Arabidopsis thaliana: one gene and its partners. Each later gene encodes a partner of the first gene's protein in a complex. Each region holds a gene or a part of one and is shown in the gene's direction. Other genes may lie near its edges. The genes, in order: SERK1, IDA, IDL2 and IDL1.

Region 1 (9,921 bases):
ACCTCGTGGCAACTTTCGGTGATTATTTCACAGATGTGAAAATGTAAGTTTTTCTTTCCCCCTTTTGTTTAACAAGAGCCAAAAATGCTACAAGTCTATTGAAGATGTCGTGGTGAATACTGGATGCAGGTATGTCGAAGAAAGATCATTTAGAAGATTTGTCGAAGCATGTTTGGAAGAAACAGTCGTTGTCTATGTTGACCATCTCCTAACTCAGGTTCCCCCATTTATTCTCAAGCATTTTTACCTTTTATATTTCATCAGCATACACAAACACTGAACCTTTGGGGTTGACGTGTGTAATTCCAGAAAAACTACATCAAGGAAGAAACTATTGAACGGATGAGGCTAGATGAAGAGGTTCTCATGGATTTCTTTAGGGAGTATATAAGTGCATCTGTAAGTTGGTTTCAGCACTTAACTCATTTTTAACCTGAATAATTTTATATTTCTTTGAAGTATTGCTTAATATTTCCACTGGAACTGTGTTACAGAAAGTGGAGAGCAGAATCAGAATAATGAGCGATCTGAGAGAACTTGCATCTGCAGAGAGTCTAGATGCATTTACACTCGTGTACTCGAATATTCTAGAGCACCAGCCTGACTGCCCGGTAAATATTATCTAAACAAAGCCTGCTCTGGCTTTTTACAATATCAGTATACACAGAATCTCTAATATATGGTATGCAGGCCGAGGTCGTAGAGAAGCTTGTTAGTCTGCGTGAAGGCATACCACGGAAGGACACAAAAGAGGTAAACATACCAAACTCTCTTTTTTGGAAAATGCTGGGTTATAATTGTAGCGAATCACATGGATTTTTAAACTATGGTTACGAGACTTCAAATGGCGAAGAATTCTTAAATTGACGAAATGGTTATGGTGATGAAAACAGGTGGTACAAGAGTGCAAAGAGATATATGAGAACACACTGGTAGATGGTAATCCTCCAAAGACAGGATTTGTATTCCCGAGAGTCAAGTGCTTAACTGCTTCCAAAGGATCTATGTGGCGAAAACTCACTTAATCTGTAAAACAGCGTTCAGCGTTTGCGTCCGTAACTGCTTTTCTAGTTGAGATGATGTTCTTTCTCCAAATTATGGCGTTTGCGTCCATGTCTTCTTTTTCTTTGCATGGTATCTTTCCTCTGTAAATTCTGTGTTTTCTCTTGTTTTGTTCTTTTTCTTACCTTTATTCCTGGATTTGAAAGTTGAAACGCTCGGTGGCCACTTGCACTAGGATATTATCCCGTTGTATTTAGGAGGCGTATTTTTTTGTCGCAAATTTTAATTCTACTGTTTCATTTAATTTTGATAAAATCTTCTTAAAGTTCGTTTCTCTTTCATAACAAGGTAGCTCTTATTGTTTTTAGAATTATTTCTGATTTGTGAAATTTTGAATTTGAAGCATATTTTTATCATGAATATAAAAAATGTTGGGGATTATAAAAAAGTTTGTAAATTCACTCATTGGCAGCTGATTTAGCCACTCACAATATCTAAATAAATAATTGTAAGCATTATCTTGAAATATTTTCTGAAATGACTGTTTCTTTTTTACTTTAATTAAATTTTGTTCTAGAAACCTTTTGATCATAATGAAAATAAAGAGTCCATCCACCACATGGGGTAAGCATAATGTGTGATATTTAAAGGGTAACAAATGTAATCTGCTTTTTATTTTACTTTTTACCTCTACTCAAATTGTATGGGCAGTTTTTTTTTTTTTTTTAAATGATAAGACAAGTATCTGTTTAATGGTATTGTGATGAAACAGTAGTAAAGTCATATCGGGCACGCCATACTACTTCCACAGTGGAACTTGGCCAAATTTTGTCTTTGCCGTCTCTACAGTTTCTTCCACCAAATTTTTTGTTGACAAAACTCAAATCTTTCAATCTCATCTCTGCCAAAGTTGGGTTTAGAAAGAATATCAGCAAACACTAATATCTTTATTGTTGCATGGTTTATCAATCACAAAATTCACAACCATTGTAAAAAAAAATTCACATTTTTGGTATGAGATTGCTCACATGATAGTGAACCTCTTTAACATTTTAACTTTACTTTCATAAATACGGGATTACGAATCTTACTTGCATTAAAAATTTAGAAAAGGTTTTTCTACTTAAAGAAAAAAGGGACCCAACAGAGAGAGGTTTGACCAGGAGAAACGGGTGCATAGCCTTAAGAGCTTTCAACTACTTTACCCCAAACCCAAAGCGATGTCACTTTCAACCATCTCTTCTCTCCCCCGAACCCGTTTTTTTGACCGGTCAGTTCGGGCAGCAGCACCGTTACGGGCAGCTTATATTCCTCGTCTTCCTCCTCTACACCACTGCATGCCCATAAATAAAGCCCGTTGAGATCTTTAAAAATATTAAATAATATATCAACGAAAAAGCTATTTTATTCATAAGAAGAAAAAGAGAGGAACAACAACAACACACTAATCATAGTTTCTCTGGCAGGCTTGTTGTTGCGGCTTAATAAAAAGCTCTTTTGTTATTATTACTTCACGTAGATTTTCCCCAAAAAGCTCTTATTTTTTTGTTTAAAAAAAAAAGTTTCATCTTTATTCAACTTTTGTTTTACAGTGTGTGTGTGAGAGAGAGAGTGTGGTTTGATTGAGGAAAGACGACGACGAGAACGCCGGAGAATTAGGATTTTGATTTTATTTTTTACTCTTTGTTTGTTTTAATGCTAATGGGTTTTTAAAAGGGTTATCGAAAAAATGAGTGAGTTTGTGTTGAGGTTGTCTCTGTAAAGTGTTAATGGTGGTGATTTTCGGAAGTTAGGGTTTTCTCGGATCTGAAGAGATCAAATCAAGATTCGAAATTTAGCATTGTTGTTTGAAATGGAGTCGAGTTATGTGGTGTTTATCTTACTTTCACTGATCTTACTTCCGAATCATTCACTGTGGCTTGCTTCTGCTAATTTGGAAGGTTCGTGGTTACTCAATTACTCAGCTTTACTCGTTTCTCAATTACTTTCTCGATTCTTTTTTATTTGGAGGTGAATCGCTATCTTTAGTGTCTGCATTTTGATTTATGAAAATTGTTGTTGTTCTTTGTATTTGTAAGATTTAGTGGCTAGTACTTTGAATACACTGTTTTGCTTTTCTTGTTCAGATCAACTTTGTATATTGTAAAGGCATGTTCTTTGGGTTGAAAAGCTGGGTTATTTGATATCTTAAGATTGATGTTGTTGATCCAAACATTCTCTGAAAGACTTCATTTGTTTTTGGTTTTGTAAAGAATTTGTTTAATTATTAGCCTCTAATCTCAGAGAGGCCTGTTTGAATAGTTCTCTCTTGAAATTAGACTTTTCACCAATTGATGCTAATTGTGTAGATTTGTTGTTCTTGTTATAGGTGATGCTTTGCATACTTTGAGGGTTACTCTAGTTGATCCAAACAATGTCTTGCAGAGCTGGGATCCTACGCTAGTGAATCCTTGCACATGGTTCCATGTCACTTGCAACAACGAGAACAGTGTCATAAGAGTGTAAAGCTTTCTTCTACTAATCCCACTTTTTAAACTTTGACCTCAGCGTGGTTACCGACATTTTTGTTTCTTTTGTCAAATACAGTGATTTGGGGAATGCAGAGTTATCTGGCCATTTAGTTCCAGAGCTTGGTGTGCTCAAGAATTTGCAGTATTTGTAAGTTCCACTTATGCATCATGCTTTAACAAAACAAATCCAAGATTTGACAGAAGAAGCACTGGAGTTACCTTTTGTAATTGAAATCTTTTTAACAAGTTTCTTATTTTCTTACAGGGAGCTTTACAGTAACAACATAACTGGCCCGATTCCTAGTAATCTTGGAAATCTGACAAACTTAGTGAGTTTGGATCTTTACTTAAACAGCTTCTCCGGTCCTATTCCGGAATCATTGGGAAAGCTTTCAAAGCTGAGATTTCTGTGAGTATACATATGCTTTACCGGCTCAGTTACAGTCTTTGTTTAATCTTAGGTTTTGTTCCAATTTTTGACTCTTTGCTGAAAATTTTACATGCAAGAATAGCCGGCTTAACAACAACAGTCTCACTGGGTCAATTCCTATGTCACTGACCAATATTACTACCCTTCAAGTGTTGTGAGTCCTCTCATTAACTTTCATTTATGTCTACTTCATTCTCCCTCAGTTGATTTGTTGAGTTAATGCACTTAACCTTGATGGATGCAACACAGAGATCTATCAAATAACAGACTCTCTGGTTCAGTTCCTGACAATGGCTCCTTCTCACTCTTCACACCCATCAGGTTCTATGATTTATCCTCTTCAGTTATTTCAGTTGTTGTGTCAGTGTCTGAACTTATTCTGAAACTTTCATTTCCTTGTGCAGTTTTGCTAATAACTTAGACCTATGTGGACCTGTTACAAGTCACCCATGTCCTGGATCTCCCCCGTTTTCTCCTCCACCACCTTTTATTCAACCTCCCCCAGTTTCCACCCCGAGTAAGCCTCCTCTTTTTAGTTTACATTATAGGAAACAGAAGATGAAATCTTTGCTTCTCTGTCAATCCTTTTTCTCATATAACTCATCTTGCCAATAAGGCAATAACCAAATGATCTAATTTGATTTCAGGTGGGTATGGTATAACTGGAGCAATAGCTGGTGGAGTTGCTGCAGGTGCTGCTTTGCTCTTTGCTGCTCCTGCAATAGCCTTTGCTTGGTGGCGACGAAGAAAGCCACTAGATATTTTCTTCGATGTCCCTGGTGAGTTTATTATTCGCATTAGTTTCTGTTCTTAGCCAGCAATTTTGTTTTGCAGAAAAGTATTGGAACAACTGTTAATGAAAATCAATACATAAGTCATTGTTTTTTAAGTTACAAACTCTTTTGAGTAAAATCTCGATTGCAAAATCTCTTTGCAGCCGAAGAAGATCCAGAAGTTCATCTGGGACAGCTCAAGAGGTTTTCTTTGCGGGAGCTACAAGTGGCGAGTGATGGGTTTAGTAACAAGAACATTTTGGGCAGAGGTGGGTTTGGGAAAGTCTACAAGGGACGCTTGGCAGACGGAACTCTTGTTGCTGTCAAGAGACTGAAGGAAGAGCGAACTCCAGGTGGAGAGCTCCAGTTTCAAACAGAAGTAGAGATGATAAGTATGGCAGTTCATCGAAACCTGTTGAGATTACGAGGTTTCTGTATGACACCGACCGAGAGATTGCTTGTGTATCCTTACATGGCCAATGGAAGTGTTGCTTCGTGTCTCAGAGGTAAAAACTAAACATCTTGTGCTCTCTCTCAATTACTTTGACGTGAAGTGTTTTTTCATGTTTTCCTTTATGGGTTCATAATTGTTGGTTACACTAATGACACAGAGAGGCCACCGTCACAACCTCCGCTTGATTGGCCAACGCGGAAGAGAATCGCGCTAGGCTCAGCTCGAGGTTTGTCTTACCTACATGATCACTGCGATCCGAAGATCATTCACCGTGACGTAAAAGCAGCAAACATCCTCTTAGACGAAGAATTCGAAGCGGTTGTTGGAGATTTCGGGTTGGCAAAGCTAATGGACTATAAAGACACTCACGTGACAACAGCAGTCCGTGGCACCATCGGTCACATCGCTCCAGAATATCTCTCAACCGGAAAATCTTCAGAGAAAACCGACGTTTTCGGATACGGAATCATGCTTCTAGAACTAATCACAGGACAAAGAGCTTTCGATCTCGCTCGGCTAGCTAACGACGACGACGTCATGTTACTTGACTGGGTAATAACAACATAAAACTTCCATTTGACCCCAACAAAAACCATTGAAACGAGAATCTAATCTCAAATACTTGTTTGTTGGTTTAGGTGAAAGGATTGTTGAAGGAGAAGAAGCTAGAGATGTTAGTGGATCCAGATCTTCAAACAAACTACGAGGAGAGAGAACTGGAACAAGTGATACAAGTGGCGTTGCTATGCACGCAAGGATCACCAATGGAAAGACCAAAGATGTCTGAAGTTGTAAGGATGCTGGAAGGAGATGGGCTTGCGGAGAAATGGGACGAATGGCAAAAAGTTGAGATTTTGAGGGAAGAGATTGATTTGAGTCCTAATCCTAACTCTGATTGGATTCTTGATTCTACTTACAATTTGCACGCCGTTGAGTTATCTGGTCCAAGGTAAAAAAAAAAAACATAAAATTATTGAACAATAACAAATTTTACAAGGTAGGTAGTTTTTTTACCCGTAAGTTTTCGTTTTTTTTAATTGTTAATGTAAAATGAAATCTAGCATTCAAAGATTTGTGATTTTGTGCTATGGTTCGATTAAAAGGGAAAAAAATTGTAATCTAAAGATTTGTGTAAGATTACTGTCTATTGTATGAAGTATGAACTATGAACACAATATATGTACATCCAAAAATACGTTAAACTAACTCCGCTGTTTTGCTACAAAAACCCTTTCAATTTTGTTCTACTAAACGTCGTTAGAATACACAAAAGCGAAACAGCGTCGTTTATTTATAATGCGCTACTCACATGACGCCGTTTCACTTTTGTGTATACAAACGACGTCGTTTAATAGAAAAATTTTTGGAAGGGTTTTTGTTGGGAAAAAAAGAGAAGAAGGGTTTTTGTACTTTGTGTCTTCTTGTTCCATCATCGTGACACGTCACACCTCCATTCATCTCCGCCGTCCTCTTCCTGTTCTTAGTCGCGGCTGGAAAAAACTGTGGTGAGAGAGAGAAGAAGAAGAAGAAGAAGATGAGTAATAATACTAATAATACAGAGATGAATAATCTAGCGATGGAAGAAGAGGATGAAGGAGAGATTTTCCTTGGTGAATCCGATGTCCTCCGTGAAATCGATGTCGACGAAGAAGGTTTTTTTTTATCTCCTTCAATCGTGATTTTTTTATCGTATGTATATATGTGTATGTGTATGTGACTCTTCTATTTTCGATTCAGATCTTCCTGAAGCAGATGATGATGATATGGACGATGATGGTGAACAATTTGGTAACAGATTCACCACCTCGTGTTTCCTCAATATGAAATTTTATGGTTGTTAATTCTACCAAATCTTACTTTCAGATGAAAACGATGACTCTGTTCACACATTCACTGGTCACAAAGGTAACGTTTTTATCATTTTATTTCTCAATTAAATGTTTTTTAACTTTCATGAAACTAAGAAAGTTTTGTCTTTTACAGGTGAGCTTTATGCATTGGCTTGTAGTCCAACAGATGCTACACTTGTTGCAACTGGAGGTGGAGATGATAAAGCATTTCTCTGGAAAATTGGTAATGGAGATTGGGCTGCTGAGCTTCCTGGTCACAAGGACTCTGTCTCTTGTTTAGCTTTTAGCTATGATGGACAGTTACTTGCTTCTGGAGGATTAGATGGTGTTGTACAGATCTTTGATGCATCATCAGGGACTTTGAAATGTGTTTTGGATGGTCCTGGTGCTGGAATCGAGGTATAAATAACTTGTCCTATATCATCATTGTAATTGAGATCCTCAGGTCCAAATCTAGTACTTACTGTGTGGTATTTTTCAGTGGGTGAGATGGCATCCGAGAGGACACATTGTGTTGGCTGGATCAGAAGATTGTTCTCTATGGATGTGGAATGCTGATAAAGAAGCTTATCTTAATATGTTTTCGGGCCATAATCTAAATGTTACTTGTGGTGACTTCACCCCTGACGGTATTGATATAAGCTTCTACCTTATATGCTTCTGTGGATTATCTAATTGAGTCTACCTGTTTTAATTGTATTGTTTGACTGTGTGTGGGTACTGTAGGTAAACTAATTTGTACTGGCTCTGATGATGCAAGTTTGATAGTATGGAACCCAAAAACTTGTGAAAGCATTCATATTGTTAAAGGCAAGCGAAATTTAAACATGTTACTACTGCACAAATACTAAATCTTTCGCCTTCTTTGACTGGTTTAAAATGCTAACTTCTTGCTTTGTGTAGGTCATCCTTATCATACGGAAGGATTGACATGCTTAGACATTAACTCGAACTCAAGTCTTGCTATCAGTGGCTCAAAAGACGGTTCTGTTCACATTGTGAATATAGTCACCGGAAAGGTTCGTCCTTTACTGTACTGCTGTTACCAAGCTTTCACTGGATTGTTTTATGATCTATATCATTTCAATAAGCAAGTTGGTGCTTCTCATATCTATTTGACATATCATCTAACTTTTTCATAATCATACCAACAGGTTGTGAGCTCCTTGAATTCTCATACAGATTCAGTTGAATGTGTGAAGTTTTCACCAAGCTCCGCAACCATCCCTTTGGCTGCAACAGGTGGAATGGACAAGAAGCTTATAATCTGGGATCTGCAGCATTCCACTCCCAGGTTCATCTGCGAGCACGAGGTATAAACCCTTATAGTTTCTCTGAGATAGCATCAAAACAGATATTGAAACTAAAACAACTCCTCTCTTCTTCTTTTTTCGATTACAGGAAGGTGTGACATCTCTGACTTGGATAGGAACCTCCAAGTACTTAGCCACTGGCTGTGCCAATGGTACAGTGAGCATTTGGGACAGCTTATTAGGCAACTGCGTCCATACCTACCATGGTCACCAAGATGCGGTCCAGGCCATCTCAGTCTCTACCAACACGGACTTCATTGTTTCGGTATCTGTCGATAACACTGCTAGAGTCTTTGAGTCATCTGAGTTCCAAAACAAAGTGACATAGGCAAGTGAGGAGAATACTTGCAGATACTATCCAGACATGTTGCTATCTGTGTTCGTTGTTGTGGTCTTAATTCTATGCTTTGTGGGGGAAAATTTTGACAAGAAAGTTATCAATGTCTAAAATTCCATATGTACACGGCTTAATTTATTGATAAATGTAGTCTCTGTTTGGAATTTGTCCTTCATTTTACAGTTCTTATGGTTCGAATGAGATTGATAAATGTTACTCCTTACATTGATATCGTTAATGAATGAGATTCATGCTAATGTTCCACTAGCAATTGAACTACTTGATATCATGAGTCTGCCAAATCGACTGGAGAAGTCAGATTTAGGGTCTGAGCATCACCATGGAATTATAACCGAACTCTTTATAAAAACTCTTCTCCCTTGAGAAGTAAGAATGAAACGGGCAAGCTATAGAGTGAGATTACTACACAGGAGAAGAAACGAATCTGCTGAAAATGCAGCCACCGGTAAAGTTGGATTAAGTCTCTAATACATCCGACTCCTCTTCTTCTCAGTCTTTAAACTGATCTTGCTCCGCCTCGATTGTGCCTTATCTCTTGAACCTGAGTTTCCAAAACTCCTCCTACCAGATCTTGGACTTGAATTTCTACGACCACGCTCCAGATCCTGGTTTTGATCCACTTCATCATCGTCCTCGTCATCATCAACAAAGTCTCCTTGACGATCATCCTCGACATCAGAACCAGAAATGTCATCATTCTCAGCCTTCGCATCAGTATCACAAACTTCCCCTTCCACTTTCCCCTTATCTTCTTTCTTGCTGCTCGAAGAAACTGCCTTGTTATCTTTCTTAACTGTATTCATGAGTTTCATGTAACGGTTCCTGCTTGTCACCAATTCATTACTCTCTATCAACATCCCCCTCTTGTAACCATCTCTAAGAACCACAGTGTGAGTCCTAAGCTTACTAGACAAGTAAAAGATACCAGGATGATTATGGAGAACTCTCTTAAACCTCGATCTCAATCCCATAAACTCACCAAGATGCAAAATAGCATCTTTCTCAACCTTCTTCGACACAAAAAGGTTCATGATCTCGTGCAAAACAGCCGCCGCCCACTTATCAGACTCATCGCTAGTCGCAGACAGATGAAGTGCATTCTCATAAGGAGAAATATACGGCAACTTCTGCCAATCATCAATCCATTTCTTCATCTTCTTATCAACCACAAAACCATTCGAAAACTTCATCGGAAAAGCAATCGCCGATCCTTTCGTATACTCTCCTTTAC
Region 2 (6,708 bases), 1.2 Mb from region 1:
TGTATAAAACCAGCTTTGAGCATGTTAAACATTGTAAACTTTTTAAGATCCTTTACATTTTCTTTAAGTCTTTATCAAATACTTGTCATATTGTAGATTCTTATATAGGTGTCTATATACATGCACATAAAGCTGTGTAATATGTAATCATAAGTTAGAGAAACAGATTTGGCTTTTCCTCTCTTGTTCTCTGTTGAGTATTCTTCTTGGCATCTCCTCTATATTAAACTCGAAAGAGAAACAAAACAGAGAAACCTCTAAAGCTTTCTTTTTTGTTCTCATGACATTTTCTTGTCACAAACCAAACTCGAGAAGAAAAGTTCTTGTATACAAATCAACCAACATTCATTGTTTTTAAAAGGGTCCCATGACCCATTGTGGAGATAGCTTTGTTTTCATCTTCCAACATTAACACCCACCCCAAAATCTTGATTACTTTTGATAGAAACATATGCAACAAGTGGAATAATTCCAATACAGATAAGATCCACACAACACTTTTTTCTCCTTCTATTCTCTTGTATCTTCTCATTATAGTCTCGATGAAGATGCTGAGACTTAGAAAGAAGCAACATTTGGTGTTTCTACTATGCGTGTGGTGTTTGGTGGTGGATTGGAGCAAAGCAGAAACAGAGGAAAGTGATGGAAGTCCCATGGAGAAAACAGAGCAAGCTGCTCTATACTCTACCATTCAAGGCTTTGTTGGTGAATCTTGGAATGGCTCTTATCTTTATCCTGACCCTTGTGGCTGGACTCCTATCCAGGTCCTTTCTCTCATCACTATTCTTTGATTATCAATAAAAAACAACAAAAAACTATCTTAGTAATGTTTTAAGCCTATCAAGATTATGATTATTGAATTCGGAAGCCGTTGAAAATGTTGAGTAGCTGATGTAATTCTCTGTTGTTTAACTCTGCAGGGTGTGACTTGTGATATCTATGATGAGCTTTGGTATGTAACTGCTCTAAGCTTTGGGACTATGAAAGACAACTCTCTTGCTTGTTCTGAAAGTCCAGTGATCAGACCACAACTCTTTGAGCTCAAGCACCTCAAGTCTCTCTCTCTTTTCAACTGCTTCACAACGCCTAACCGATATCTAGCTTCAATCTCCGATGAAAAGTGGTTGGATCTCTCTAAAAGCTTGGAGAGACTTGAGATCAGATCAAACCCGGGACTGATAGGTGAACTCCCTTCTGTCATCACTAACCTCACCAACCTTCAATCTCTGGTGGTGCTAGAAAACAAGTTAACAGGTCCATTGCCAGTGAATTTGGCCAAGTTAACCAGATTGAGACGTTTAGTACTGTCTGGAAACCGGTTCACAGGGAGAATACCTGAGGTCTACGGGTTAACCGGATTGTTGATATTGGATGTGAGCAGGAATTTCTTATCTGGGGCGTTGCCTTTAAGCGTTGGAGGATTGTATTCTCTGCTGAAACTTGATCTTAGTAACAATTACTTGGAAGGAAAGTTACCTAGAGAGCTAGAGTCCTTGAAGAATCTCACTCTATTGGACTTGAGAAACAACAGATTATCAGGTGGGTTGAGTAAAGAGATCCAAGAGATGACTTCTTTGGTAGAACTGGTTCTGTCCAATAATCGCCTAGCCGGGGACTTGACAGGAATAAAGTGGAGAAATCTGAAGAATTTAGTGGTTCTTGATCTCTCCAACACAGGCTTAAAAGGGGAGATTCCTGGTTCAATCTTGGAGCTCAAGAAACTGAGGTTTTTGGGTTTGAGCAACAACAATCTCGGAGGCAAACTCATTCCACAAATGGAAACCGAAATGCCTAGTCTCAGCGCGCTTTACGTGAATGGAAATAACATCAGCGGAGAGTTGGAATTCTCTAGGTACTTTTATGAGAGAATGGGAAGGAGACTTGGTGTTTGGGGGAACCCTAATCTGTGTTACAACGGAGATGAGACCAAGAACCTTAGCGATCATGTTCCTTTCGGAGTGAACCAATGTAAGAGAATTAAGGCAGATAAATATTAGAACCCTCGTTCTGAATCAAAGGGTTTGTGATAACAAAAACTTGGAATGATACAAAGCTGTGGTCTTTTCAATTTTGTTATTGCATCTTATTTCTATAGCATTATTTTGTTTTAAATTATTTAGCGTATTTACAAAATATAGTTTTGATATCTCGAAGTTCATTAGAAAAACTTCCAAGTATTTTTTTTTTAGATCATACAATCATAAAATTAAATAACAGACTTACCTAGTTTAAATTTACTGTGTATCAATGATTCAATGTATGATACGGTCGGTTCTTACCTAGTTAAAATTTGTTTTTTTTTAGTATATGTAAAGATCTACCTGTTTCCATCAAATTAGAAGAATTGTATGATTTTATGCGACATGTCTAATCGTAGGAGGTATGTTGGAACTTTATTTTATTTTGGCATTTCATAAAGGAAATATAAAAAATTCTATTTAGGTAAAAATAATAATCCGTGACTAAGTCCGATATAGATGCAGAAATCAGGTGGATATCCAAATCAAATTTGGCATAATTTAAAGAAAAATGTGAATCATGGAAAGCCACTTGTCAAGTTGTAAAATTGTGTATAACTGAGTCAACCCTCCAAGCTACTTTTTGTTCTCTCTTTAATTTCTTAAAATACCTTCTCACGCAAAAGATAGAGTTGGTATACATTGTTTTTACGTGTTTTATGCATGCATTTTTCAGTATATTTTATGTGTATATTCGTTTAACTAAATTATTATTTATTCCGTATCATGATTAACCTACGACATGTTATCATTTAGTCTAATCCTTTTACTATACATACGTGTATTGTCTACCACTTTCGTCATTCGTCCAAGGATGATATCTAATTTTCTTTCTGCACGACATATATGATATATTGTGTGCTTAAAGAAAGCTCATGAGTCATGTCTGATATTTGAGTTCGAATTTCGAAAACTAATCTTGCTTTACTATTCATACATCTTGTGATATAGTTACTGTTGAAAGTTGAATAATGCAAAAGAAAACAAAAGATAGCTCATGGTGACGATGCCTATAAAACCATTAATTATTCTTCTTCCCGTCAACGTACTTGTACATATATGATGAAATCTTGAAAAAAACGACCATCCCATCAAACCAGATTCCCATTTCCTAGCATAAAATGGACTTCTATAGAAAAATACAAAGGAAAATAAAAGTCGAAGGCGGTGACTAAAACAACGAGAAAAACTCAAACCTTTGAAAACTTTAGAATTCTTATAAAATAATAAGGAAAATTCAAAGTCTCAATAGCGTGGGATTCACTCCACTCTTACCATTCCCCGACTTCCCCCTCATTTCCGCCACACTTATTTCCAATCAAATCCACACACACACATGTTATAAATATAACACATAGTCACATACATACACATTATTCATTTCATTCATAAGACCCTTCATTCATTTACTCAAAGAAGTGGAAGTGAAAAAATTAGAAAAAGAGAAGAAAAAAAACATTGACTACCAAATGGCTCCGTGTCGTACGATGATGGTTCTGCTCTGTTTTGTTCTGTTTCTCGCGGCGAGTAGTTCTTGTGTAGCGGCTGCAAGAATTGGAGCCACCATGGAGATGAAGAAGAATATAAAGAGATTAACGTTTAAAAACAGCCATATTTTTGGTTACTTACCTAAAGGCGTTCCCATTCCTCCTTCTGCTCCTTCTAAGAGACACAACTCTTTTGTTAACTCTCTTCCTCATTGATTTCATTTTATTTTATTCATTGTATTCTTTTAGGTTTGGTTTTGTAGATTAGATCAACATAGGGTATTATACTCTTTGTATATGCATACGATTTATATTTACTTTTGAATTTGTTCCTTTTTATGTTTATAGACTTAATATATGTTTAAGGTCATTACGGCCATATAAAGATCAAGAAATCGATTAAGCTTTGTTAGCCTTCTACTAAAGAATATTCCATAGACCTCACTCATCATACGCTAATCAAACATATGTTTTTATGCAACTTGTAAGTTATATCATTCGTCTTTCTCAAATAGGTCAATGTTTGAGTTAAGACTTAAGAACGTAATAATCAAACATAGAGAAATAAAATCGATAGGACACATGATAAGTTTATTACTAATTAGGAAAACAGAAACCAAAAATACAATAAAAAAGAGTAAAAGAGAGGGGCATTCCGAGAATTGAACTCGGGACCTCTCGCACCCTAAGCGAGAATCATACCACTAGACCAAATGCCCAATTTGCAACATTCAATCCCAAATCAATCATTAACTCTTACATCTATTAGTCTCCACCACCATGAGTGAAAGGATTGAAACCACTTCCAAACAATTTCTCAAGTGGCCAAAACAAAGGCTTTGGTAGATTCTCCCAATCATACCAATCCCATCCTTCACACTTCTCTGGTTCCATATTCTTCGGTTCTTGACTTGGATCCACCAACACCGCACGTATCGAAACAGAGACGTAGTGTGATGGCGTTGGTGCTTCTTTGAAGACATTGTTTGTAACAGTCAAAAGCTTCATCTTTTCAATCTTTAGACCTGTTTCCTCCATTACTTCTCTCGCTGCACATTCTTCAAAGCTCTCTCCTGATCAAAGAACAAAGATTAGATCAAATCAAGATTTGGGTGATATAAAGAGAGAAGAGAGAGAGGAGAGAGACCGAATTCGAGGTGGCCACCGGGAAGAGCGAAAGTGGAGTTGCCGATTGAGGAACGGCGGCGACCTAATAAGATTGAGTTTCCGTTGAGAATGAAAACGACGACGGCGACTCTTGGTATCGCTTCTCCTGTCGACATTATTATCGAACACAGTGAAACCCTTTCTTGTCGTGTTTTAGTTTTGTTGACTTAATTTGAGTTTAAAACGATGTCGTATCGGTTATGCGTTTATATACGTGTTGGCAAATGTGTCGCCGTGTCGGTGTGATTGGCTGTACACAATTATCGCTGTTTCTTTTTCCATTGCACTTGTTTTCATTTTATTTATTAAAAAATTTAGATGATATTATATAATATATGTTCTTTATGATGTTGCCATAACGAGAACGATTATGTAAAAAATAACATATACATATACTTTTCTGTTTATAAATGATTATTTTTTTAGAAAAAATTTATTTCTAAAATATTGATTTTTTTAAGTTTTTTATGCAATATTTATTGGTTAGTATTGATGAATTGTAATTAAAAAAAAAAAATTAATTATCATTGTTTTTTGAGTTATAGAAAACTGTAAAACATAAAAAATAATGTATTTATAATCAACATTTATTATGTTTTCTTAAAAAATAGAAGGAGTAGTCATTTGTTAGATAGTAAGACTTAGCCAAATTATATGTCATTTACTGTACTTTAGTTTTTTTTTCCGATCATAAGAATGTATGTTAAAATAACAATCACCAAAGAGGCACAAAATAAATTGTAGGTCCAAAGATAAAACAGAGTTAGTTAAAACCAGTTACTCCTTTCGTAGAATTTTTACCCAAAAAAAGAAAAAAAAAAATCGTAGAATTTCCTTCTCTTTTCTTCTTAATTATAATATATCAACTGTTTGTTTTGTTGTTTAGTTTGGAAAGGAAGAAAATTAGCTTAAGAAATAAGAATATATTTTTTTGGGGAAAGATGACTAGCACCACAAATTTAACTACGCCATAATTTACTGCGTTGACCACCATAATTAGTAATTAAGCACCATAGCTAACAAACCATATATAATCACTCTTCAAAATATTTAACTTTGATCACTGCAATTATTCATTCCTTCACCTTGTTCATTGATACAATGACGGACACAACAGACGATATCGCAGAGGAAATCTCATTCCAAAGCTTCGAAGATGACTGCAAATTGCTCGGTAGTCTCTTCCATGATGTGTTACAAAGGGAAGTTGGCAACCCATTCATGGAAAAAGTCGAACGCATTCGGATTCTTGCTCAGGTTTCATCTTCTGTCTATTCGCTTCCATATGCTTAGATCATTTGATAAGAATCTCACATCGTAGTAATAAGAGATATAGTCATATAGATCAATCAACTTATCGAAACAAATATGAATGATACGACTTATTTTTGTGTGGTTTTTAAATGTTTCAGAGTGCGTTAAATTTGCGTATGGCTGGTATTGAGGATACCGCAAACCTTTTGGAGAAGCAATTGACTAGTGAAATATCCAAAATGCCACTAGAAGAAGCCTTAACGTTGGCTCGTACATTCACTCATTCTCTTAACTTAATGGGCATTGCAGACACTCATCACAGGTCATGATTTTTGTAATCACATTACAACAAAAATATTACAAGTAATAAACATGAATAGATAATTCTAAACTTAAACATTGTGGATTCTAATAATAAACATTTTTATTCCAGAATGCACAAAGTCCATAACGTTACACAACTTGCAAGATCTTGTGATGATATATTCAGCCAGCTATTGCAAAGTGGAATCTCTCCAGACGAACTTTATAAAACTGTTTGCAAACAGGTCTAGCTACTTCATATTGTATCATTTTAGAAACATTTCAATTCGTTTTATCTAACACAAAGGTCGTATCTGAGTGTTGTTTTCTCTATTTGATATTTGTTTGTTTATCGCGCTTTAGGAGGTCGAAATTGTTCTTACTGCTCATCCTACCCAAATAAATCGAAGAACCTTGCAGTACAAGCATATTAGAATTGCTGTAAGTTAGTTCTAATGATGTTAACATATATGGATTAT
Region 3 (6,554 bases), on another chromosome or scaffold:
AGTTTTCTTTTACGATTAAGTAAATGTACATGTTTAGTAAAAAATTGGACATGTAAATGATGTGGATGCACCGAAACTAATTAAAAGTTTTAGATGATTGAAATATAAATTCTGAGCATATAATTATTTATGAAAAAGTTAACATTAATTCATCGGAAAATCAAAATGTAGCTAACGAACTTGTTAGCTCACCACATCATCAGTGTCTTCACTCTCCACCTACAAATTAAATTTATGAATTCAATCATTACTTTATTATATTTCTGTAACGCATGACCCAATTTATTTTACTCAAACCAAAAGGACCAAAAATATAAATCTTTCTACTTAATGGCGTTGAAATGTTTTGAAAAACTAATTTCTCGGCGAAACAAGAGAAATCACAATATAATGTCTGGAGTAATCTATACATGCAAGTATAATAGGAAATATGGATGAGGCTTTTTGTATGCCAGCCTCGGACACGGTACTTGGTGCGACATATCATGTGAATGCTCGAATCACTTTCAATGAATATTCATTGATGACTCACGATTCATGAGTTGTGACCGTGACTCGTGACTCGACTCATGAGACATGCCTCGCACCACCTTTACCCCGACCGTTCCGTACACTATATACGCGTATTTAAGTACGTAACGTTGATTTCTTCACAGGTATATGTATTCTTATCACATGTATAAACACGATCGATCGCACGTGTGCATATTTTTTAGTTATTACTTGTTGTGCGTTCAAGTAGTTTTATTTTTTTCTATAAGTAACATTTGTGGGTTCACATAGTTGCAGCGCAATGAGGAATTAAAAATATAATTTTGAAGATTTATTAAAATTTGGTTTACTATTTAACGTTGTTTGGGATTTAGTTAATGATTTACTGAGTTGTGGTTTTTTAGAGAACATGAAGGCGAATGGATATCTAGTGTAAAAAAGTTTAACTATTTATTTACTATTACGTACAAACAACATTGGTTTAAAGACGGAACTCGCTATTCACAAAGTATTTTCTCTTCTTGTCTGCATCACATACTACATTTAAATTCACCTTTGAATTCATGAAACAAAACTTTGTGTGAATGGTGATGCGTCTTGTGTTTTATTACATTCATCACAAAACAAATGTCGGTTGATTTCTTACTAATGATGTGATCAGAAAGCACACCCAATTACCATTAGTATATTGTTTAGTATATATTTATGATACTACATTATATTAATCAATGGTCCATAACTATACTTCACTAGAAACCTGTACAACCAATCTAGGGATTAGCTAGAATTGTCAGTCAGTTTCGTGTTGGCCTAAAATAAAATAATTTTGAAACACTATTTCAAATAAAAGAATGAAATAATAATGGAGAAGTACGGTTGCTAGATTTGTAATAGGGTAGCTAAGACGTAGTCAGTGTTTGAAATAGTAGAGAAAGGTATGGGACTTAGACCAACTTTAGATTTCAACTGTTGTTCCTGACATTACCAAGACTCTTCTATTTTAGTTTACTTTCTGTTCGTGTACTTCTTCTCATAATATTGGGACAATAAGAGTCATTTTACTCCATACTCATTGAAATGTTTTTAATTTAATTTCCATAAAAGATAACTATTACAAGGTATCAGGTCTAATAATCATTTATTCTGACCTTTGTCATGTACGTTAACCAAGAAATAAAATTTTGAAAGCAAATTTTAATTAATTTGTAACTCAATAGATCACATACTATTTGGTCTGTTGTATATATGTCCATTAATCTTTTGTAATTTGTATGCCAAGTAGACTTATGGCTCTGAATTTCATTTATTAGATTTCCTTTTACAAAAGTGGATGAAAAATGGTAAAACCGTATAAGTGTTGGGAAGAGGTTGCATTGAATGAAGAACTCTAATTAACTCTAATGGAAAAAGCTTAGATAAGAGATTGAAATGGCAAGAACGGTGATTGATATATGGACTGTGTGCATACGTGTGTCTACACAAAATATGGTAACATATATGCATTTGAAGTAGCTTAAATTGAGGAAGATTTCGCAATAAAGATTGAATAGTCGCAATGTTGTGACATAATTATAATCGGTCACTATATTTAGACTGGGGCCTGTCATATTTTCTCCTAACAAAAAAACTATAAAATTATATAAAGTTTTGAGTCTTGACATAACATAGAAAAGGCTTTACCTTACCATATCACTTTGTATTAATATTTTCTCTTTGCCCACTTTCTCCGTTCTTTCTTATTCATTGAACATAGGTGACATGAAACCTTGCATCCAAGGCATTTGAAGAAACAAACGAATCTATCTTTATTTGTTATATAATCTTTTTATTTCCTTTGTTTTTGTCAATATTATAGAAAATTATTATATACCAGAGGTTATAGTCAACTAATTAATTGGATTTTTATTTTTTGTAATGTTAAACTTATCCACCAGAAAGATTATATGTGTAATGTAATAACTGGACTATTTTGTAAAATCATATTTTAAAATTATAAAACCTCAAACCTTACTGAAAACAGGTGATTTCAAAATTTCATGCAAGTAAATGTTGAACTTTCCAATTTTATAAATAGTCTTGTTAAGCAAGAGTTTTACGATAATCCCTCCCAAAGCACTATAGCTTTAAAATTACTATGTTAGTTGTGTCGAAAATACAAAGCAAAAGAGAATAATTCTATGCAACTGTTGACAAGAGAAAAACACATTATTGCGCCGTACAAACGTCTTGTCTCCATTTCCATAAGATAATTTGTTTTGAAATATATAAATCTTAAGCGAGCTATCGACTATCGTTAGTGTTTTTGATGAATATGATGAAAACTAATGGGATGTTTTCATTACTCTAATAACTTTCGCATAAAAGTGAAAGACAACGAATATGGAGGATATCAAAAGTTTCTGGTTTAATTTTCTCGGCATTTCATTAAAACTTTCCATACCTTTCAGTAAACAAATCTTCGTTCCCTATAATTTTTCAGATCATATGTGGGTCAAGTAAAAAACACTCCCCCTTTAACCTAAACCACTTAATGACAATAAGTCTACAACCATTTTGTGTGCTTAGTTACCATAAATTTTGCCTTAATAATTTAAGAACTGTAAATATTTGTGCCCTGCAACATTTTTTCAATAAACCTAAACTATCAACAATTATAAGTCTAAAAAAATCTACCACCAAACAGTTTCTTCGGCTTGTAGACCAAAACCAGTTGTCAACAAGTCTACAACTACTTGCATAGTTGAATAGTTCGTGAAAAAATAAAGAGAAAGTATATATCAGAAGTAATTAAATACACACGAAAACATAACTCAAAAACCTCTTCTTAGTCAGATTCTCTCTCTATCTATCTCTCTCAATCTCCATCTGCCCATATTTCTTGCTGTCAACAAATTCATTCAGCAATCTCCTTTTTCCCCATCAACAACAAACAAAAAATAAAGTCCTTTCACAACAATTATATTTAGAACAAATTCACCAAAAACCCTTCCACAAAAAACCTCTCTTCTTCAACAATGTCGTCTCGAAACCAAAGATCAAGAATCACCTCTAGTTTCTTCGTCTCCTTCTTCACTAGAACCATTCTTCTTCTTCTCATTCTTCTTCTTGGTTTCTGCAATGGAGCAAGAACAAACACGAACGTCTTCAACTCGAAACCACACAAGAAGCACAACGACGCCGTTTCTTCTTCAACTAAACAGTTCTTGGGGTTCTTGCCACGTCACTTCCCTGTTCCAGCTTCTGGTCCCTCCAGAAAACACAATGATATTGGTTTACTTAGTTGGCATCGATCTTCTCCGTGAGAAAAAGCTTGAAAGGTCTTGAATTTTATTTTCTTTCTTTCTTTTAATTAGTTATATGTTTCTTTCATTCCGGTTCCTCTCTTTTACCCTTTGCTTTTGAGTTTTAAGTTGGTGTAAATGTTTTTTATTTTATTTTTTTTTGGTAATGCCAAGAAAATGGTTATTTTTGTTTGATTAATGTCGACAAGGCTAAACATATGATTTATTATTATGAAATTGTAATTGGAAGTTGTATTATTTTTTGGATAGCTCGAATTTGTAATATTGCACGTATCAAAGTGTGTGAGCCGATCATCCTCATGATATACACGTGTTCTTGTTATTATAATAATAATTTAACTATCTGAAAAAGTTTATGATTAGTTCGAAAATTGACTTTGAATATTATATCACAAGGACTAATTTGTATGTGTGTTTGTAAAAGAATAGATCAAATCTTTAAACTTTAAAGAGGTTTGAAATATATGGTGTAACTAAAAAGTCTGATGTAGAATGGTCTTGAGATTTATAATCGACTTTTTTCTTGGGATCTATCGATTTGTTTTAATGATAACCAATAATGTCTTTGAAATGTCTATTGTGATTTGTCAATGTGATGGACCAAGGTTGCATCTAATTCTATAGCCATTTAATTTATTTTGACATTAAACGTGACATTTATGCCGGAAGGTGATCATCAATAGGTACATAAGATCAGAAAGGTGTGATCAATAGAAGAAGATAAACAGAAACATTTTTAAAATATAGTGTATGATATTGAACTGCACTTGATTTTAAACAAATACGTAATGATCATTTTTAAAGACAAATAAACCGATCTAATTACATATTTATTTGATAATAAAATACCAATCGAGTACTCTTTTTTTTTCGTAGTTATTTAATATAATCAATGCTATAATTAACAGTACAGTACTCATCATTACATGTTTGTTAAGAGTAATGAGTTCTGAAACCTCGAAATCTATCTTCTTCTTCTTTAATCACGTTCGGTTGTTCAAATTCAGACAATCATAGCCCCTTTTCGATAAATTAGGTAAATTTCGCACATCGTTTTGGTAAAATAACACTGCAAAAAAGGGACATAATCTCATAACCTATATATTTGCAGTTGCAGATTTTAGCATCTTTAGTCAAAAAAAGCAAAGTTACCATTGAACTCATTAACATTAACAACGCCTCAACCAAACCGGATAATAATGAATTCAAATCTAACGTGATTGTTCTCTGGTTTTCTCAACCTTCTACAAGAACAGGCCTTGATCCCAAACAACAAGTCTGAAAATGGTTGAATAACTTGTTGTGGCCAACTACAGATAAAGTAAAACGAGAAAGACCTTATTTGTCAAATTAAAATCCGACATTCTCAATTTTCTAGTGGTGAACATTGACCAAGAAACAACACAAACAACTTAAACAGAAACATCAAACGTTAAATGGCAGCCCAAAATTATGATTCAACAGGAGATTCAACTTTGGTCTCCTCAGCTGCAAAGAAGGGAATGGGTTTTTTCGGAGCTGGAAGACGTCCAATGCTATCAACCTTATCTTGTTGTTTAGGAGGTGGTCGCGCTGCTTTTGGCAATAACCTTCCTTTCTTCTCAAACCATTCCGGTTTAAGCAATGCCCTTAAGCCCAACTTGTTGTAATACACTCTTCTCACTGATCCTCCTGCTGCTTCCACCACCTCTTTGGCCCTAACCGTCACTCTCGAAACCTGTAATAAACACGCTCATACCGATCAACTGAACATCTAACTAAGCAAATACATTGACTGGTGCAACGGCTCTAGAGACTACAGAGCAAAAGTTAATAACGCAAATGATAAACCTCGAAATGAAGTGGCCATTTGATATCATCAGCACCACGACCCATTAGTCTTACTCCATCTTCTATTTGCTTTCCTATGGCTCCCACATCCTGCAAACCGACGTTAATGTGTTCAGTAAGAATCAGACATATTAAGAATCCTAAACTCAATTTAAACCGTTGAATCAAAGAGTGAAGTATGACCGAACCTTGAGCGTTTTCATTGTAATCAATTCATGAGAATCTATCTTCCCAGCGTTTATGAGTTTAGCAATCTTCCCTAGACCAACCGGCTGCATCACAAAACAATCATAAACATCTTTAGTCGCTGCATCAATAGAGTGTCAAATCCTAAATCCTTACACACACAGTATAACCTACTTCACCACAAGCAGCTAAAGAACAGCAATAATGGCATACAGAAAGAAGAACAAGAGTGATCCATCTGATTTAGATTCTCAAATTCGACCTAATCTAAGGAATCAATCACAAATGTTAACCCTTCGAATCAAGGGAAGCTACAAAATCCGAAACTTGACCTCAGAAATGAAAATCCCAGAACTAAAAGGCACAAGCTTGAACCTGAAAATGGAGCTTAAATTTGTTCTTGAAGCCACGTTTGGGTAAACGACGTCGTAGTGGAGTCTGACCACCTTCGAAACCAAACTTCATCGTTCCTCTCGCTTTTTGCCCCTTGTGACCTCTTCCAGCAGTTTTACCTTTACCAGACCCAATACCTCTTCCTTTCCTCGTCTTGAGTTTTCTCGGCACATTGTCTCTCAGATCGTTCAAGCTCAATAAACTATAAGCCCTGATTCCTTGAAACGACAAAGCCCTGCTCGTAGAGGTCGGAATTTGAGTAGAGATCGGAGAAGGACGGCATTGAAGAAGTGGTGAAGAAATGATGAATCTGGGTTTCGCGGTTTGATGAAACGAAGAATTGATGAGTGA
Region 4 (6,182 bases), on another chromosome or scaffold:
ACACTTCCGTTATCTCTCCACCACAATCTCAAATTCTCACCACTCGTCGTTCACTCCTCTCCGGCGAAACCACAGCTGTCGAAATCGCAAAATCTTACCTTTCTCGTATCCGTCTCACTGAACCTCAGCTCAAATGCTTCCTTCACGTATCGGAGAATGTTCTCAAAGATGCTCAAGAGATTGATCAACGAATCGCTAAAGGTGAGGAATTGGGTCCTCTCGCCGGAGTTTTGATCGGCGTTAAGGATAATATATGTACTCAAGGTATGCCTTCTACTGCTGCTTCGAGAATCTTAGAGCATTATCGTCCACCGTTCGATGCGACGGCGGTTAAGAAGATTAAAGAGTTGGGTGGGATTGTTGTTGGTAAGACTAATATGGATGAGTTTGGAATGGGAAGTACCACTGAAGCTTCTGCTTTTCAGGTTTGTCTTATGAATCTTGTGATGATTGTTAATAAATTTGGAGCATGTTTAGATAGATGAATATGGTTTTGTTAGGGAGACTTGTGATGATGGTTTAGGATTGAATGATTCAGCAATGTTAATAAAGTTGGAGCCTTTATTTATGGTCTTATTGGGGAGCTTGTGATGGTATAGGGATTGAATCTTGGGGTTTGGTTTTGGTTTAAAGGTAACTGCGAATCCGTGGGATTTGAGTCGTGTACCGGGAGGTTCATCGGGAGGATCAGCAGCAGCTGTTGCAGCAAGGCAGTGTATGGTGTCACTTGGTAGTGATACTGGTGGAAGTGTGAGACAGCCAGCTTCGTTTTGTGGTGTTGTAGGTCTTAAGCCGACTTATGGGCGTGTTTCTAGGTTTGGGCTTATGGCTTATGCGTCTTCGTTGGATGTGATTGGGTGTTTTGGGTCTACGGTTGCTGATGCTGGGATGCTTCTTCATGCTATTTCGGGGTATGATAGGTTTGACTCCACGAGTAGCAAACAAGTAAGGTCTCTTGTTGTAGTTGGTTTCCTGCATTGTAATGAACGAAAGATGTTTTCTTTGAAAACAGAAACATATTTCTCTTTGTTCAGGATGTGCCTGAGTTCCAGTCTCAGTTTCTATCTGTGGATCATTTTGAGTCTAAACCATTGAATGGAGTGAAAGTTGGTATAATTCGCGAGACACTTGAAGACGGTGTTGATTCTGGAGTGAGATCTGCTACTCAGGAAGCTGCGTCTCACTTAGAAGCATTGGGTTGTATATTGACAGAGGTTATTTTCACTTTTCCCTTTGTCTCAGTTTTTCTTTTTCGTTTTTGTGTAAAAATTCTGAGATTTGTTGCCAAAATTTACAGGTCTCCCTTCCTTCATTCTCTCTTGGACTACCAGCTTACTACGTTATTGCCTCATCGGAGTCATCTTCGAATTTATCACGTTATGATGGTGTCAGGTAATCTCGGTATTATGACTTGACTCACAATATGAGTGCATCATGGATATAGAAAATGATATTGTTTCTTGTATTGGAAATGAAGATATGGTAATCAAGTTATGGCTGAAGAACTCAATAAGCTGTATGAATGTTCCCGTGGAGAAGGATTTGGAGGAGAGGTATGATTTCAGAATTTACTCCATCTGATTTAATCAACAAATGCTTGATTATAATCAATGACAATTTTGATTTCAAGGTGAAAATGAGAATTTTAATGGGGACATATGCACTTTCTGCGGGTTACTACGATGCTTACTACAAGCGAGCTCAACAGGTAAGCCGCATCTTCAAATGCAGTCAATAGAAATAGAACCTGTTTTGATAGATAAATGTATGCTCTTTTTGTTTGGTTGTTAATACAGGTGAGGACACTAATTCGAAAAGACTTCAAAGCAGCGTTAGAACAGAACGATATCCTTATTTCTCCGGCAGCTCCATCTGCTGCATACAAGATTGGTGAAAAGAAAGATGATCCACTGGCAATGTATGCTGGAGACATTATGACGGTAAAAATCTTTCGTAGTTTCTTTCTCTATTTAATCGTTGTTACACGAAACATAGTTTGTATCATATGAGGTTTGTTGCAGGTCAATGTGAATCTTGCCGGACTTCCTGCAATGGTATTACCTTGTGGATTAGTCGAAGGTGGTCCCTCGGGTCTTCCTGTTGGTCTTCAAATGATCGGAGCAGCGTTTGATGAGGTTTGTTATAAACTCTGTCTCTTTGCTTACTCTAAAAGATTAGATTAAGATTCACATGATGATTTGTTGATTGGTTTTAGGAGAAATTGCTGAAAGTGGGTCACATATTTGAGCAGACTCTTAAAGGATCGAGCTTTGTTCCTCCATTGTTAGCCAATGTAGCCTAACCATGTAACCACCAAGGCTCTTTTTGCGTTTACATTTCATGCTTGGTTTAAGCAACGGATTTATCAATTGTAATTGTACTTCAATTCTTTTATAATATAAATGTAGATACACCCCATGGGCCACATACGTATTCTTTCTTCTTCTTCTTCTTGGTCTCTATGCTCTTATTTGGTACTCCTAAATGGGGATGGTTTTTTTCTTTTATTCGTTTTTGATTTATTGGTCCTTGGCCCTTGCCATTGCATTCATGCACTTGATTATTGTTGAGTATCATGATTGATTAACACAATTTTTAAATATGTATATTTTGTTATAAATCTTGAGTAAATAAACTAAAAAATTGTATCAACTGAAAAGAAGTCCTTGCCATTGCATTCATGCACATGATTATTATTAATTATGGTTGTATCATGATTGATTAACACAATATTTAAATTTGTATATTTTGTTATAAATCTTGAGTAAGTAAACTTAAAATTTGTCCACTAGTACCAACACAAATCTTAATAAATGGTCAAAAGCATTACACGTTTCAAATAGATTATTGGCATTTTATAAAATGAAACTCTGGTGCTAGAGTATAAGTATAGACTACTTTAAAATTTCTAGAATAATTCTGAAGAAATCATATGTTATTACCTATAATTATGCAAACATATTAAAATCTCAGAAATCTAGTGGTCCAGACGAATATCTGTCTCCAGTGGACGATCAAAATCCAACGGATCATGCGTGTGCATGGTTTGACATTTACGTCTACTCCGTGAAAGTTGTCACATGAATATATAAACACATTAACCTATGAAAAGAGATTTTTGTTGGACGAAATGTTATGTTAGTTGTTATAACAGAACAAAATTATGTGCTGATAAATAATTTAAATATTAGGTGCCACAAATAATTTGCAGGTGAATAATTAACTATTAAATATGATAAATTAATTGTTTGGTAACCCCTAATAACGGAAATAATTTCTTTAAACAAAACTTGTTTATTTGGCCTATGGACTATACATGGTGGTTAGCTTCAAACTATTTACGCAAGTCCTTCTCAAGAGATCATGTTAAAAAGCTACAAGAAAAAGGAAAATAGAATTTACTTTTCTTTCAAAATCGAAGACCAAATGATTTGATAGTCATTGGCACCTAACTTTGGACTAAACAATCACGTACGCATTGTTCTTTTGTTCACACATAATGTGTATATAATATACAAAGTCTACAACAACGTGATTCTCTTACAAAAATTTAAATTTTACACACATAATTGATGATGAAATTATATTTTACACAATATAATACCAATAATGTTTGATAATTAAATTTTGACAGACAACTAGAGGTAATCACACGTACGTACACCATCGTCCAACGCGGCATTTCAAGTCTTTTATTCACTATCGTAGTATCGTTGACCTTTTAATATTATCACAAAATACTAACATTCCATTACTTGCGCTTCACTTCTTTATTTTTCTTTTGCTTTTCTTGTTTGACCAATCATACAAGAATGTGCATACTTTCATACATGATATATCATATATATACACGCTCATATATACATCTCAAAACTTAAACCGCCTTCTTAAAATCCAAAATTTATAAAACCCTAGCTAATAGCTAAATTAGTGTCTCCTCCTCCTTATTCTTCTTCTTTCTCCGAACATTATATGAATCTTTCTCATAAAACCATGTTTATGACTCTTTATATTGTTTTCCTCTTGATTTTTGGTTCATACAACGCCACGGCAAGGATCGGACCGATTAAGCTTTCTGAAACGGAAATAGTTCAAACAAGATCAAGACAAGAGATCATTGGGGGTTTTACATTCAAAGGTCGTGTGTTCCATTCATTTTCTAAAAGGGTACTTGTACCACCTTCGGGACCTTCCATGAGACATAATTCTGTGGTGAATAATCTCAAACACTAACTGTTTTTTTTTTCTTTTGGTTTAATTTCAATCTCTTAGGATTTGCTTCAAAAATTTTTTGACAATTACATGAAATTGTATTTCGAAAAGATTCTTAAAGTTGTATTTAATGAGTTCATTCACATTTGTAATATCTCGGTTGGAACGTTATACGTATGTATATAGACTATATCTTTCATTATTTGTTATGGGAACAAAAATTCAAATTGATAATGAACAAGACAATTTCTATTCACAAGCTATGGAATTTGCGAATTGTAGAAATCTCTCAGCAGTAATATAGATCCATTGGGATTGCATAAGTGAACTGCATGAGCCCATTTGCGGCCTGCGTCTATTCGTATGAGATGGGCTTCTTTAAGTTTGGCCTAATAATAATAAAAATTCAAAGAATTCACCAGACAGCTCCTCGTAGTGAGCTTCTCAGCCAAATCTCGCTCAACACTCATCATCTTCATGCATGTACTCTACATCCTCACTCATCAGTTGACTCAAAATCAAATAATCAAATCACTAGAAGCAAGTTTGGAATCAGTTACCCTTCAAAGTGAAACGCTTCTCATCAAACCTTCTGATGATTTCAGGGATCTGAAACACCAAAACATTTATGTAATCTTTATCAACCAAAGCAATGAACAACACATGAGAACCAAAGCAATGAACAACACATGAGGACCAAAACATATACGTAATCATGTTGGAGTCTGCTACAAATAGCTTTACAGGGAAGAAACAAAGCATGAATTAGTACATTGACTCTTTTGGATCAAAATGGATGGTACATATCTTGTGATTTATAATTTTTAGCTTGTTACAATCGTCATTGCATAGAACTTATATGAGTATTATGGATTGATCTTATATTTAAACATAAAAATATTTTTATACAAATAAATACTTTATAAGTTTCCAAGATATAAATTTGATATTTTATATAGATATATAAATATAAAATTTTACAAATAAATATCTTTCTCTTTTGCGGATCCAATAAAAGGGGTTAATCCCAACAAACTAGTTAAGTTAGAATTTGCGTTATTTTCCTTATTTCCTTGAGAAAAAGGAAACAACATGAAACCTAATTCTAATTGGAAAAGGAAAACACAAATTGACCGACTCTTAGGATTTCTATAGATAAACACATTCATCGACTCTTTTATTTTTCATTCAACAATCTCTCATCAAATTTCTCTGCACAAAAAATAAAAGCAAAAACTTATTTTTTCGTTTAACACACAAAGCAAACAAAATGTCTTCTAACAAGATTGTGTTGACTAGTTCCGATGGCGAGTCTTTCCAAGTTGAGGAAGTGGTGGCACGAAAACTGCAGATCGTAAAGCACCTGCTCGAAGACGACTGTGTTATTAACGAAATCCCTCTTCAAAACGTTACAGGAAATATTCTCTCCATCGTTCTCGAGTATTGCAAGAAACACGTCGACGATGTGGTCGATGATGATGCATCTGAGGAGCCGAAGAAGAAGAAGCCCGATGATGTGGCGGGCCGGTTCCTGAATCAACTGAAGAAGGAGATGATGCATCTGAGGAGGCGAAGCAGAATCTCGATGCTTGGGACGCAGAGTTCATGAAAAATATTGATATGGAAACAATCTTCAAGCTCATTCTCGCTGCTAACTATCTCAACGTCGAAGGTCTTCTTGGTCTCACTTGCCAGACTGTTGCAGATTACATCAAAGATAAGACGCCAGAGGAAGTTCGAGAACTCTTTAATATCGAGAATGATTTCACACATGAAGAAGAAGAAGAAGCGATTCGCAAGGAGAACGCTTGGGCTTTTGAGGCTGACACAAAACACGAAGATCCAAAGCCCTAGTTTTTTTTAAAACCCTAGCTTTGTGTTTCGCTGTGTTGTTTCTTTTTTCTTTTTCCTTTTTCATATGATTTGATGAATGATTTGTTTCCGTTTTCTCAAGTGTGATATTGACTTTT

The links.
Region 2: the proteins of SERK1 (region 1) and IDA are in contact, whole or in part, in a crystal structure (PDB 7ODV), measured with the Arabidopsis thaliana proteins. Residues at the interface, in NP_177328.1 of Arabidopsis thaliana: Asp51 (codon at 3,433), Thr53 (codon at 3,439), Leu54 (codon at 3,442), Val55 (codon at 3,445); in NP_564941.1 of Arabidopsis thaliana: Lys66 (codon at 3,683), Arg67 (codon at 3,686), His68 (codon at 3,689), Asn69 (codon at 3,692).
Region 3: the proteins of SERK1 (region 1) and IDL2 are in contact, whole or in part, in a crystal structure (PDB 7OGQ), measured with the Arabidopsis thaliana proteins. Residues at the interface, in NP_177328.1 of Arabidopsis thaliana: Asp51 (codon at 3,433), Thr53 (codon at 3,439), Leu54 (codon at 3,442), Val55 (codon at 3,445); in NP_001078796.1 of Arabidopsis thaliana: Arg80 (codon at 3,744), Lys81 (codon at 3,747), His82 (codon at 3,750), Asn83 (codon at 3,753).
Region 4: the proteins of SERK1 (region 1) and IDL1 are in contact, whole or in part, in a crystal structure (PDB 7OGO), measured with the Arabidopsis thaliana proteins. Residues at the interface, in NP_177328.1 of Arabidopsis thaliana: Asp51 (codon at 3,433), Thr53 (codon at 3,439), Leu54 (codon at 3,442), Val55 (codon at 3,445); in NP_566774.1 of Arabidopsis thaliana: Met75 (codon at 4,195), Arg76 (codon at 4,198), His77 (codon at 4,201), Asn78 (codon at 4,204).

The regions. Positions count from the first base shown.
Region 1 is NC_003070.9:27,015,721-27,025,641, forward strand, and holds SERK1 (somatic embryogenesis receptor-like kinase 1), read left to right. Parts: upstream 1-2,437; 5' UTR 2,438-2,854; coding exon 2,855-2,942; intron 2,943-3,370; coding exon 3,371-3,503; intron 3,504-3,588; coding exon 3,589-3,660; intron 3,661-3,777; coding exon 3,778-3,921; intron 3,922-4,024; coding exon 4,025-4,096; intron 4,097-4,191; coding exon 4,192-4,263; intron 4,264-4,346; coding exon 4,347-4,459; intron 4,460-4,589; coding exon 4,590-4,721; intron 4,722-4,879; coding exon 4,880-5,221; intron 5,222-5,326; coding exon 5,327-5,721; intron 5,722-5,807; coding exon 5,808-6,122; 3' UTR 6,123-6,397; downstream 6,398-9,921. Other genes in the region: SEC6, read left to right, coding at 1-43, 130-217, 310-399, 495-611, 691-753, 894-1,025; AT1G71840 (transducin family protein / WD-40 repeat family protein), read left to right, coding at 6,704-6,821, 6,907-6,957, 7,033-7,074, 7,153-7,418, 7,501-7,648, 7,746-7,829, 7,923-8,038, 8,174-8,332 and 1 more; AT1G71850 (Ubiquitin carboxyl-terminal hydrolase family protein), read right to left, coding at 9,155-9,921. UniProt on the Arabidopsis thaliana protein: Dual specificity kinase acting on both serine/threonine- and tyrosine-containing substrates. Phosphorylates BRI1 on 'Ser-887' and CDC48 on at least one threonine residue and on 'Ser-41'. Confers embryogenic competence.
Region 2 is NC_003070.9:25,827,170-25,833,877, reverse strand, and holds IDA (Putative membrane lipoprotein), read left to right. Parts: upstream 1-3,096; 5' UTR 3,097-3,487; coding exon 3,488-3,721; 3' UTR 3,722-3,961; downstream 3,962-6,708. Other genes in the region: AT1G68780 (RNI-like superfamily protein), read left to right, coding at 543-764, 921-1,997; NUDX1 (nudix hydrolase 1), read right to left, coding at 4,271-4,578, 4,653-4,788; PPC4 (phosphoenolpyruvate carboxylase 4), read left to right, coding at 5,774-5,929, 6,085-6,248, 6,360-6,474, 6,593-6,670. UniProt on the Arabidopsis thaliana protein: Involved in an ethylene-independent separation step of floral abscission. Promotes abscission zone (AZ) cells rounding. May act with RLK5 and HSL2 as ligand-receptor pairs.
Region 3 is NC_003076.8:25,847,291-25,853,844, forward strand, and holds IDL2 (inflorescence deficient in abscission (IDA)-like 2), read left to right. Parts: upstream 1-3,218; 5' UTR 3,219-3,506; coding exon 3,507-3,794; 3' UTR 3,795-4,085; downstream 4,086-6,554. Other genes in the region: AT5G64670 (Ribosomal protein L18e/L15 superfamily protein), read right to left, coding at 5,245-5,511, 5,625-5,714, 5,813-5,896, 6,186-6,554. UniProt on the Arabidopsis thaliana protein: May be involved in floral abscission.
Region 4 is NC_003074.8:9,335,760-9,341,941, reverse strand, and holds IDL1 (inflorescence deficient in abscission (IDA)-like 1), read left to right. Parts: upstream 1-3,866; 5' UTR 3,867-3,972; coding exon 3,973-4,233; 3' UTR 4,234-4,511; downstream 4,512-6,182. Other genes in the region: AT3G25660 (Amidase family protein), read left to right, coding at 1-425, 634-945, 1,035-1,214, 1,298-1,392, 1,478-1,553, 1,631-1,708, 1,797-1,940, 2,022-2,135 and 1 more; SK15 (SKP1-like 15), read left to right, coding at 5,483-5,728, 5,779-6,066. UniProt on the Arabidopsis thaliana protein: Involved in an ethylene-independent separation step of floral abscission. May act with RLK5 and HSL2 as ligand-receptor pairs.